3 linked regions of the Danio rerio genome follow. The main gene of each other region encodes a partner of the protein of the gene in region 2 in a complex. Links are inferred from orthologs where the notes say so. Each region holds a gene or a part of one and is shown on either strand. Other genes may lie near its edges.

What was found.
Region 1: smu1b (region 2) and zmat2 share a complex: the UniProt entries of both Homo sapiens proteins name them as parts of the spliceosome B complex. The link is inferred for Danio rerio from reciprocal best matches to the Homo sapiens genes SMU1 and ZMAT2.
Region 3: smu1b (region 2) and ik share a complex: the UniProt entries of both Homo sapiens proteins name them as parts of the spliceosome B complex. The link is inferred for Danio rerio from reciprocal best matches to the Homo sapiens genes SMU1 and IK.

What each region holds. Positions count from the first base shown.
Region 1 is NC_133196.1:32,947,826-32,951,921, reverse strand, and holds the start of zmat2 (zinc finger matrin-type protein 2), read right to left. Parts: upstream 2,801-4,096; 5' UTR 2,799-2,800; coding exon 2,781-2,798; intron 1,800-2,780; coding exon 1,709-1,799; intron 1,205-1,708; coding exon 1,081-1,204; intron 995-1,080; coding exon 921-994; intron 1-920. Other genes in the region: slbp2 (stem-loop binding protein 2), read left to right, coding at 3,300-3,349, 3,455-3,583, 3,711-3,779, 3,892-3,975. UniProt on the Homo sapiens protein: Involved in pre-mRNA splicing as a component of the spliceosome.
Region 2 is NC_133176.1:48,281,857-48,285,356, forward strand, and holds part of smu1b (WD40 repeat-containing protein SMU1), read right to left. Parts: intron 961-3,500; exon of another isoform or gene 466-960; coding exon 339-465; intron 245-338; coding exon 77-244; intron 1-76. UniProt on the Homo sapiens protein: Involved in pre-mRNA splicing as a component of the spliceosome. Regulates alternative splicing of the HSPG2 pre-mRNA. Required for normal accumulation of IK.
Region 3 is NC_133196.1:47,757,565-47,761,845, reverse strand, and holds the start of ik (protein Red), read right to left. Parts: upstream 2,801-4,281; 5' UTR 2,734-2,800; coding exon 2,718-2,733; intron 1-2,717. Other genes in the region: ndufa2 (NADH dehydrogenase [ubiquinone] 1 alpha subcomplex subunit 2), read left to right, coding at 4,275-4,281. UniProt on the Homo sapiens protein: Involved in pre-mRNA splicing as a component of the spliceosome. Auxiliary spliceosomal protein that regulates selection of alternative splice sites in a small set of target pre-mRNA species. Required for normal mitotic cell cycle progression.

The DNA of each region.
Region 1 (4,096 bases), on a different chromosome or scaffold from region 2:
ATTTACATGAGCAACATAAAGAATAATAATAAACAGAGCTGCTACAAACAAGTACATATAGATTCATTTGATTAAATTAAAGTGTTCATAATTTATCTTATCAGATATTACCGTTTATTTTGTGTATGACATTTATTTATATAGCATAACTACTTTCATTGACTGATGTGCTCTCCAACAAAGTTTTCAGGAACATCTGGATGATGGTAGGTGCCTATCTTTTAACTTTTATCTGTTTTCTTATAATATATAGGCAAGTCTGAAAATAAAAGCAGATTTTTTCCCCACACTGATGCCTCTTGTACATCATGGGAGAAGCCTGTGTCACTTTCGGTTAAAAGCAACCACTTGCTGGTTGAATAAAATTATCTTTAAGTCAGAATATGCCAGGGGTTTGAATAATTTCGGACTTGACAAAATATAAGTATATCTTTTTGTGACATATATGTCTGTCAGGTTTTGAATATCAAAGTGGATATTTAAAGTGTGGTTATTTTCTCCCAATAGAAAGAATCTATATTAAAAGGTATGAAATGAGTCATCAGTATTTCCAGTCCTATTTCCTGCACAAGCCTATGTAGATTTGTTACAAAGTTTCATAAAGCCAACCTGAGTACTGTTTTCTCCACCGCAAAAACAAAACTACCGTGAAGCAATGATACAGAATCAACATTTGAAATCAACTCTGAGAAATGAGTTAATAATGTAAAGTTTGAGAAAATGAAAGTGCTTTTTGACTTTGGATGGATCTGAACCTATTGTAAGAGACTTCCGCAACAAAAATATCCTTTAAAATAGAATACAATTTACGATATTGCACAGAAGGCTTTCTATAGGGAGTGTGTCTACATGCAAACCACATTTTATCTACAAGATGTTGTGCAAATTATAAGAAAGAACAAAGACCTTATAATACTTACGTTTTTTACCATTGATATGATCCAAGAAATTGATGGAATCCTTTACTACACAATCACACACATTGCAGTAATACCTTAGAATGAAAAAAAAATAGTATATTAATATTTTATTATTAATATTTATACTAAAACATAAATACAAGTTTCAGGTTACACCCACCCTCCCATCTCAGCCTGTGGTGTGGTCTTCGTGATGACGATTGTTTTCCCCAGTTTTGACTCCAGATCCACTTTATAATCTCTGTGGCGGAGGAGCTCCCGCTTGATGGGGGGCACAGGCTTGCCTGGAGAACAAAAAAGAAGAATGACATAGGAAATATTGGCCAGAATTATTTACGTTTGTAAAATATTTAGGCATGAGAGAATTATTTCAGTTTGTTGTCAGCATATGGGTTTATTTGACCATACTTCATTTAATTTACTGAATAAAGATACAACTTACATATACAAAAAAATTCCACTGAACGTTTATCAGAATTTATCATTTGTTATTATGTGTTTGAGTGAGACATAATTTTGGTTTTATTCTGTGAACTACTGATGATATTTTTTTTACAAATGTTAAATAAAATAGACATTTTCTGGAAAAAAAGGAAAAGCTCTGATGTACAATATTTATCTAATTTAATTTTTGGAAGAAATATTATTAGACTTACAGAATAAAACAAATATTTTACATTTTATATCCAATGAATTCAGAGAAATTGAGAATTTACAAGTGATCCTTTAGTTTTTTTGTCTCTGATAACTGTATATACTGAAGGGTTTTTAGGGTTGTTTTAGCTTACCATCTTTTTTCTCTCTCTCCTCTGTGATTCGTTTCTGGGCCAGCTGTTCATATTCATCCTTGTCCCATTTCCGTCGAAAATCATTCTTGGACTAGAAACGAGAATATGATTGTAAATGATGAAGGTACAATTTAAGACATTTTAAGGACCTTTTAAAGACCTCGCAATGAAAATGTAATGAATCATTTTAAGGGAACACAACATACAAACACTGAGTTGCAGAAACAATGAGTTGTATATACTTGGCTAAACTTTTAGGTTTGAATATACCAATCTGTATTATTCACGGTACTTTTTGTCACACTGTAAAAAGCACATTCTTCCTTGGTGTTCTATCCTTTCCATTACTCATGTCTAAAGATTATGAAATCATAATAGATTTTTAATAGATATGAGACTAAAATGAGCTCAGAAATAAACACTCAAACAGCAAAGTCATTTTTCTTCTTTAATAACAAACAATATATTAAACTTTTTAAATTATTTATCGAGTAAATGAAACCTCATTTAAGGACGTTTATGATTTTTATAAAGGAAAACATAAAAATATTGAGGAAAATATAAACTTTTGCGGAGTATGCAACATTTAATGCCTTAGAAAGTATAAATATCTGCTGATTTAAAACCTTTTTTAAGGGATTATTGTCTAATTTAAACTTTAAAGGCCCACATAAATCTTAATTTTAAACATTTTAATAGCATAACCATGACAGTTGAATAACGTTAAGCAAATCTACTGGAACTGCACAAAAAACGTCTGTACAAAAGATCGAACATAAATAAGCCATAATATGATTATACTAATAGATTAACTATGATTTTAAAAAGATAATACAAGGCAATATAGGTAACGAAACGCTTTACAACTGAAATATATCTGTTTTTCTTCTTGTTCACAACAAAACAAAACCATCTGGCGTCACAACATCGGCCAGTTTTTTCTTCATTCACCTTTTACGATACCAACATTTGCTAACACATGACGCTACAAAATAAATACTTTCCTAAATTACGTTTAAAGTAAGCGGATAGACTAAAATAACATATAAACAAGTCTTAACAGAATTCTTACCCCACTGCCTGACGCCATTTTGCTATGAGGATGCCGTAAAGCGTGTGCGGCTGCCGTAAACAAGCGCCCCTGCCGAACTGCTGTTACTATTTTGCCGACTGTAAAAGTGTCATCATGCTTGGTAATTGTTTTTTTTTACTTTATTTATATGTTTGGGCTTCAAATAAGTTATGCTTACATTTAGTCAAAAACCTGTTTAATGACTACATTTGTGACAAGCCTACTGTATTATTCCTCTCGTTACTTGGACAATTTTCTTCAATGTGTCTAAATAGAGACATACTATTTCACTACAAGAATTTTACATCTACATGTTTAAATCAGTGAAATAAAAACCGTTATTAAATAAAACGTTAATTAAAATAATATCGATTTGATAAATCATTATTATTATTATTTTTTTTAATAATTAGCGGCCTTACCTGTCTCATTTGTAGAGCCCCGCCCCCGTTACACCTGTCGCTGATAAAAAGCTTTGTCAAGCGCAATGTGTTGTGTGGCTGTACGTTAGCCAAAATCATGACAACACGCATAGAAAGCCTTCTTCAAAGCCCCTTTGAGTCGCGGTTGTATGTTTCAAAGCTTGTTTTGTGCCTTTAAAGTGTCCTCATGTGTTGTTGTCCTCATGTAGTATCGTAAAACACTTTGTATTTTGTTATTTTTTTGTGATTTAGAGGTCTGCCTCTTCACTTGTGGCCAACAGACGTTGCTCAAGACTTCAGTAGTAAAACCCTCTCTCTCCCATGTAGCCCAGAGCCTTGGCTGCTTCCTGGCTGCAGTTCAGTGTATGATAGTCTTGTCAGGTAAATGTGTTTCTGTTGATTTAAGGAACCTTTTTATTTATTTATTTTTATTATAATTATTATTTTGGGGGGGGGTGGAACTTGAAAATGTTGTGTTGAGAAACCCTGCACATTGTTTTTCCCTCAGCTGCTCTAAAACCCCACTGTCTGCTTCACAAAATGGAGAAAAGCCTTCTGCTGTTCAGAAGCCTCGCAGGTATGCTTTTTTTTCTTTTTTATAATTTGTTACTGGTTGTCTTGTGAATAGTTTTTTCTTAATTCCAAATGATCTGTTAGTGCCTTTAATTATTTTATTATTCACTCTTCAGGTCCTCCATCCTTGAGCGATGCATACTTAGGATGTCTACAGCTAGTGTAGCTGTTGGGACGGAAGATCTTGATGGGGTCAAGAGGTCTAACTAATCCTTTTTTTTTTTTTTTTTTTTTTTTTTTTTTTAGTTTTGAGTGTGTGTGTGTGGTTTTTATTATTTTTAAATGAAAGAAAAATGGATGTTTGTGTATTTTATTATATAT
Region 2 (3,500 bases):
GATAACTGTACAAAAATAATGAAAAGGCCCGAAAAAGACTCCTTTAAGCCAGTTTTGGTCAATTAGTGTTTCTCACCTGGCCATGAATGTTCGTAACAACCACTGTGTTGGTCCTATTGCTCACTACAAAGTGCTCAGGGGTCTTTGGAACCAGCACAACATTGTTAACTGTGATGTCTGTACCCTCAGGGATGTCAGGGGTTTTTATTGTGTGGGTGCAATCCATTGTCTTCACGGTCCAGACCTGACGAAAAACAAAAATGAGTAAGAAAATCCTCAAAAGTACATGTGAAAGGCAAAGACTAGTAAAGGCAGGACACTACAGTGTGAATACATACTTTTACCGTGCCGTCCGCCGATGCGCTAATGACATGCTGGCCGTCGTGCGAGTAGATGACATCGTTTACATGAGCTGTGTGGCCTCTAAACTCCTTCAAGCACTTCCCTGACTTCAAACCATGAATCCTGATCATTGAAATAAAGGAGTTAGAAATGTATTTGTAAGCACAACACACAACTTATTTGCTTAATAAATGTTAAGCCCAAGAAAAGGAGCGACAATCAAAAATCATACGAAACAAAGAAGCAATTCATAAAAAGGAAGCATGTTATGATGCCATGAATTGATTATTTTAAGCAAAGAGCCTAAAATCCAAAAGGAAAAACCTTAAAATAACATTAAAGACCTTTTTTTAAATTTTGTGTACAAACTGCAGCCTTACTTTCTCATCTCACAATCCACAAATTAGATTGATTATTATTCCTCTGTTGTTGAGAGACAAAAGAACACACTCGCAAGTTATGATGTGATCAATTAATGATTAATTCCTTGACAACATAAACCCTGAGCAAAGCTGATGCTTAAAACCATGTCAAAAAACATACCTGAACAAAATACAACCAGAGCACGAGCAAAACACAAATCAGTCGATTGTTATCGTCACGGGAAATGACTGACACCTGACAACAAAGCAAAAAAGAAAAACTTTGAACAAAACAACAACCAAACCAAAATTAAAATATAAAAAAACAAACAAACTAACAAAAAAAAAAACAAAATAACATGACACCTACATCAAAGAGATGATTGATTTCTTTGGTGAATAAATGTTGAGCCAAGACACCTAAAACAAAGTGAAATAAAAGACAAAAAAACCCTCATACCAAGCTAAAATAAAATCCAAAAACAAAGCAAAATTCATTTGTTTATTTAATTTCTTTTTGGTTGAGTCCCTTTATTAATCAGGGGTCACCACACCAGAATGAACCGCCAACTATTCCTGCATATGTTTTGCGCAGCAGATGCCCTTCCAGCCGCAACCCAGTACTGGGAAACACCCACACACTCTCGCATTCACACTCATACACTACAGGCCAATTTTGTTTATTTAATTCACCTATAGCGCATGTCTTTGGACTCGGGGGGAAACCGGAGCATCCAAAGGAAATCCACGCGAACACAGGGAGAACATGCAAACTCCACACAGGAATGTCAACTGAACCAGCCAGGGTTCGAACCAGCAACTGTCTTGCTGTGAAGCGACGGTGCTTCCCACTGAGCCATTGTGCCACCACAAAGCGTAATGAAAGCGAAAAAAACATTGAAGTGAAAATACAAGCAAACCTCAAAACAAAGCAAAATAAAAGTGAAAAACAAAACATACCTAGCTAAACTACAACAAAGCAAATCAATAAACAAAGCCAAATAACAATGAAGAAAAAAATACAACAGAGCAAACACACAAGTTATAAATGAAGCAATTTGTCGCCGTATGACCACTTTATTCAGTTGTATCAGTATCATATTTAGATTTAATAATGGATTTCTTCAAAGAGTGAAGCCAAAGCAAAACTGCAACCCCAAAAACAAAAATGAAGCATAACAATCAGGGGTGCCACTAGGGGAGGGGTCAAGTTAGGAGCCGTTTAGGGGCCCCCAGAGACACTATTAGGGGATGCCAACCTCCCAACCAGATGCCAACCGCCCAGCTCTTTACTTTAATCCATGAACAAATTACCCTGCCACCCACTTTAGTCCACGACAACCCCCAACCCCCACTCTTCCATGACACTTTCCCAGCACCCACAACACCCTCAAACTCTTGACACTCTCGAAATACTGTCATAGGGCCCGTACCATCCAGCGGCACCTCTAATTTCCATCAAACAGACTTTTAAAATATTTGACATCAGTCATAATAACTTTGCCTGCAACTAACATGACTCGATGGTAATCTGTAGCGTTCACTGCTACATAATAAAGCGAGTTTCCGCCATTGTTTTCATCTGTTCTTGGAGATCCATTTATAATGTTTTCTAAAAATGCATCAACAAAACATTGAAAAAAAATAACAATTCTCTCTCTCAAGCACATGGAATTCCACCCACATGCACCATGAGAGTCGAGCGCTGACGCCCAGCCGCAGAACTACTGCAGTCAGGACTGAGAGAGAGAGAGAGAGAAATATACAAGATTCACTGTACAGCCAAATAACCCTGAATATTCCTCAGTTCCAGTCACTACATGGTGATAATTAAATCAGGAATTCGTCTAGGTGAAGGACCCACTGCTTATCTAGTAGCCCATTGTATATATTATGTTTTATATAAATATATATGTATGTATGTTATTGTTTTATATGTATACTGTATATATTCCTTTCTATTTTATTCTGAATTATTATTGTTATTAATTAATATTCAATATTGATTACTACTCCTATTATCTATATTGACTTTGCTATGTACACTTTGAATATGTACTCATGTCATGCCAATCAAATGAAGTGAATCGAATTGAGAGAGAGACTTCGCTTTCAGCATGTGATGATTCTTACAGCATCACGTCTCCACAGTCTAATTTATGCCAAAAAATTCCTCAAATCTACCTATTACTATCTTACGAACATTTACAAACACACAATAGCTATCAAAAATAATCAATAAAACATAAAACAGACCAACTTTTACACGTCATCTCTAATGTTAGGCTGGCATTCACGTGTCTCCCTCACACACACACAAGAGCATAAATCCAATCTATTGCAAAGTGGGCGTGGTTAGCATTCTTCAATAAGGAGCCAATAGCGTAACAGCTTTACATCTTCACGCCCCCTATTCTAAAGAGCTGGAATGACAAAACGTCTGCCTGTGTGTTGGCAGATGTGCGGGCTACAGAAACACATTATCTGTGCGTGCTCCTTCTCCGCAGCACGTGGCCAATCACGCTTCTCACCACCCACATGCACCATGAGCGCCTAGAAATGACAGCCAGCCTTAGAAAGTGCTGCAGTCTGGTACCCGAGATGCTGAATCGGAGCATGTGCCGGAATATTCCTAATGATGTTTAGCACCCAGACCACGACTTGAGATTTTCCCTCCTCCTCCTCCTCCGCCCCTGCCTTTTTTTCTGTCTACAAAGCATCCGTGGCAAAACATTTTGAGGAAGGTAACCTACAGTTTCCTGCTGGCACTTGTTATCGCATAGCAACTGATCATCT
Region 3 (4,281 bases), on a different chromosome or scaffold from region 2:
CACAACGTTACCCACTGCTGTCAACCTGGGCCAAGTCATATCTCTCTGTCCCAGAAACCTCAGTCCCAAATGAGAGGGTTTTTTTCTGTTGCAGGGGACATTGTAAATACCCAGAGATACCAGCTTTTACCAGATTATATTTATATGATAATTTTCCTTAAAACCCATCTCTATCTAAGTGAGTGAGTGATTAAATGTTGAATGTGATGAGTTTTCAACAATACTAAATTGAAACTTTATTTTTTACATGGTTTAATAATTTTTTGTTATTAAAATTGAAGTTCCTGTTTCAAAGCTTACAGATAGATGACTAATTTGTATGCCATTGACACTTTTGGCACTTTTTTGGAGTATTTTCATTAGTTTTGTTTTTTCCTGTAAATGATTCAATAAATACCGTACCGTGACATTCATACCGAGGTATTACCATACCGTGAAATTCTGATACCGTTACATCCCTAGTATTCACTATTCAAAATTTGCAAAGAATACTTTTTAGAAATTCTATTATTAAGGAGAAAGTCTGATTGTGTGAATATAAAACCAACTTTACCTCAGTGTATTCCGGTACAGAAATTCAATAATCACAATGCAAAAAATATATATATTTTTACTTTTTTCGTCTCATTTCTAGTCCAAATATCAACTAAATTCTTAGACCAAGTAAAAATATTGTTTTGTTTTGACCGTCAGAAGGAAAAAAGGTATATTAAGAGATTAATGAATGAAATGTTTTTTGCATGAATCATATAAAGTGCATTTGATTAAATCCTGGTCATCTATAATACAGACTGGACTAGGCATGGGCCAGCATAAGATTCTGACGGTATGATAACCTTGCATATAAATATCACTGTTTGAGATTACTGAGATTACTGCTCTAAAATATAATCTTTTTAAATGACTGGGTAAAGAACAAAACCTTTTCCCCCCTTTGTACACAATATATTTTAATTTGGGAAACATTTTAAGTATTTCAGAACAGTAAACATGTCAGGCTAAATAATTATTAGGCTGGCTTGGGAAACAAGCCAGACTACTGAAAACCTATTTAAACTTAATATTTTTATTCTTCTTCTTCTTCTGAGACTAAAATTCAAAATCTATCTCCTCCTAGAGCTTTCGAGCTATGACCACCAAACTCACACCAGACCTCCAAACTATTCTGACTCGGTAATATGCTATATCTTTTCCGACTGATCCGACTTTCGGTTTTCTGAAAAACGTCCCGGGACCGTCGGAAAAATCCCATAGACTTAACATTGGACCAAACTTTGTGACCTCATAACTCTGCGTCAGACTGTCACACAGACTTCTAACTGGGCTCATTTAACTCAGACTACCTAACTGCCAATAACTGATGAGCTTTTAACTTTCTGGCCACGCCCTAGCAACCACTTTTGGATCCTAGAAACTGTCCCATAGACTTCCATTCAAAAGACTCTCATTGACTTAACATGGGATCAAACTTTGTGAGCTCATAACTCTGCATCAGATTGTCTTACAGACTAATGGCTGAGCTCATTTAACTCAGACTACCAAACTACCAATAACTGATGAGCTTTTAACTTTCTAGCCACACCCCTAACTACCACATACTGCACCCTAGCAACAACTGTCCCATAGACTTCCATTGCAAAAGACTGTCATTGATTTACATTAGATCTAACTTTGTGACCTCAAAATTATCTGTCCTTTTTCAAACTGCTTTTATCTATCTATCTATCTATCTATCTATCTATCTATCTATCTATCTATCTATCTATCTATCTATTACTGTCTTTCTATCTATCATCTTTTCATACTTTTTAAAACTGTTTAAACTAAATAAACTATTTCCAACAGATTTTCTCAACCCCAGCCTAAAGTTTGTCTCGACGAACTTTAATAATTGACTCCTGCAGTCTTAATTAGTTTTAAAAACACAGAGTTCTTTACGATTTAAACAGCATCTTTGGAAACCTTTTCTGTTGGAGATACTGCTGACCCTAAAAATAAAAAATGTAAATAAAAAAATCTTACTCATACCTTAGGAACGGTATAGCAGAAAATGTTGACGGTTTTAAAACATTGACTTTCTCAAACTAAGGTATACTTTGAAAGCAGTTATCGTCCCATGCCTAGACTGGACATTGCATATCTATGCGATGTGACTATTGCGGATGCGCACATTGAGATATCAATGTTGAAACGATATAATGTGCAGCCCTACTCCCTAGATTGTATACCATGGTACTTTCCAATATTCATTCTGAAATCACATGCAAGAATGACTTAAAAACAACATTGGCACTAATTAATTGACAGTGAACAGTGTTGTACTATGATAGTCAATGGCTGATAATATGAATTTACTACTTTTACTCTTCTGAAATTATATTATTAAGGAGAAAGTGCAAATATAAAGCCAACTTTACCCCAATCATAAATCTGGAGTCAATTATGAAGCAGTCACTTCATTTCTGGACTCTGCAGCAATGTAAAACACTAGAGAAGTGTCTGCTTTGGATTGTTATAATGCATATTTCACTACATGTGCACTAATATCATCTTTGTATGAACATCGCATTTCCTTAACGATCTACACAGGAGACACAGGCGAGTGTTAGCAAAACATAACAGCGCAAATGTTCGCTTATTATACTAACGTTAATTCACTGTCTGTTTTGTCGCTCCCTCATCGCATAAATAAGAAATAAATTGCATATCATACTTACTTTCGCGTTCAGGCATGATGAAATAAAACTACTAGCTCCAAAACACAACGCACTCCAATGTTGATAGTGCGTCTCTTGATGTCACTTCCGCTTTTTTGTCTGCTTTCGCAGCAGCAGCGCCTCTTGTTGAGCTGGATGAATACGGTTGTTGCTAGAAGGGATACAGCTGCGGCCAGAGGTTAAAGAGAATTATTTACATTATTTATAAAATGTTCAACTAAATTGTATTTTATTAACTTTTACCTCGACTTCAATCCTGGACCCAACCCTCACAGTGATGTAAAAACCCTAATTATACCGAATATTATTCATATTATTTATTAAATTACCCATTGATTGTATTGTATTAACCTCTATCCCTACTCCAACCCTCACAATAATGTAAAAACAGTGATTATACAGGGTATTATTCATATTATTTATTAAATTATCCATTAATGCATTTTATTAACGTCTACCCCCATCTCTATGGAGGACAAAACCTTCAAAATACAATAAATAAATAAATAAATTAATAAATATGCAAATAAATTAAATAATAAATCCACAAAATTCTACATGAATAAAACAATAAATAAATAAAAGAATTATATATATATATATATATATATATATATATATATATATATATATATATATATATATATATATATATATACACACACACACACACACACACACAAATCCCTGCATAAATAAATATATAAATATAGTGTGGACAGATTAATAATTAATGCTGGAGGAATAAGAAAACTTAAAGTAGACTTTATATATATATATTTGCAGGTTTTGTTCATATATATATATACATTTATTTATTTACAGCGTATATATTTATTTATTGTTTCATTTATGCAGGAACTTGTGTATTTATTTATTTATTTACGTATTTATTTATCTATTTATTTATTGTTTTATTTTTGCAGGAACTTGTGTATTTATTCATTTATTTATTTGTGTATTTATTTATCTATTTATTGTTTTATTTATGCAGGAACTTGTGTATTTATATATAGATTTGTTTATTAATTTGTGTATTTATTTATGTATTGTTTTATTTATGCAGTAACTTGTGTATTTATTTATTCATTTATTTATTTAATTGTTGTTTTATTTATGCAGGTATTTATTTCTTTATTTATTTATTCTTTTATTTATCTAATTGTTTTACTGATGCAGGAATTTGTGTTTATTTATTTATTTATTTATTTATTTATTTATTTATTTGCGTAATTGTTTATTTTTTTGTTTTGCAGGTTTCGTCCTCCATATACCCTAACCCACACAGTATATAAAAATTATACCAAGTATTATTTATATTATTTATTAAATTACTCAATAATCCATTTTACTAACGCCTACCCCAACCCAGAACCCAACCTTTACAGTATGAATATTAAAAATAGTAATTGTTGTACAGCGTCACAAAAACCGCGTGAGCTGTATCCCTTCTATACTTTACCACACTTTCCAGTAGGTGGCGGTATATCAAATGCAGCGGCATTTGCTGCAAACAGCAGCAGAAGAAGAGCACTTCCTCCGGTGAAGGTGACAGTCATGGCGG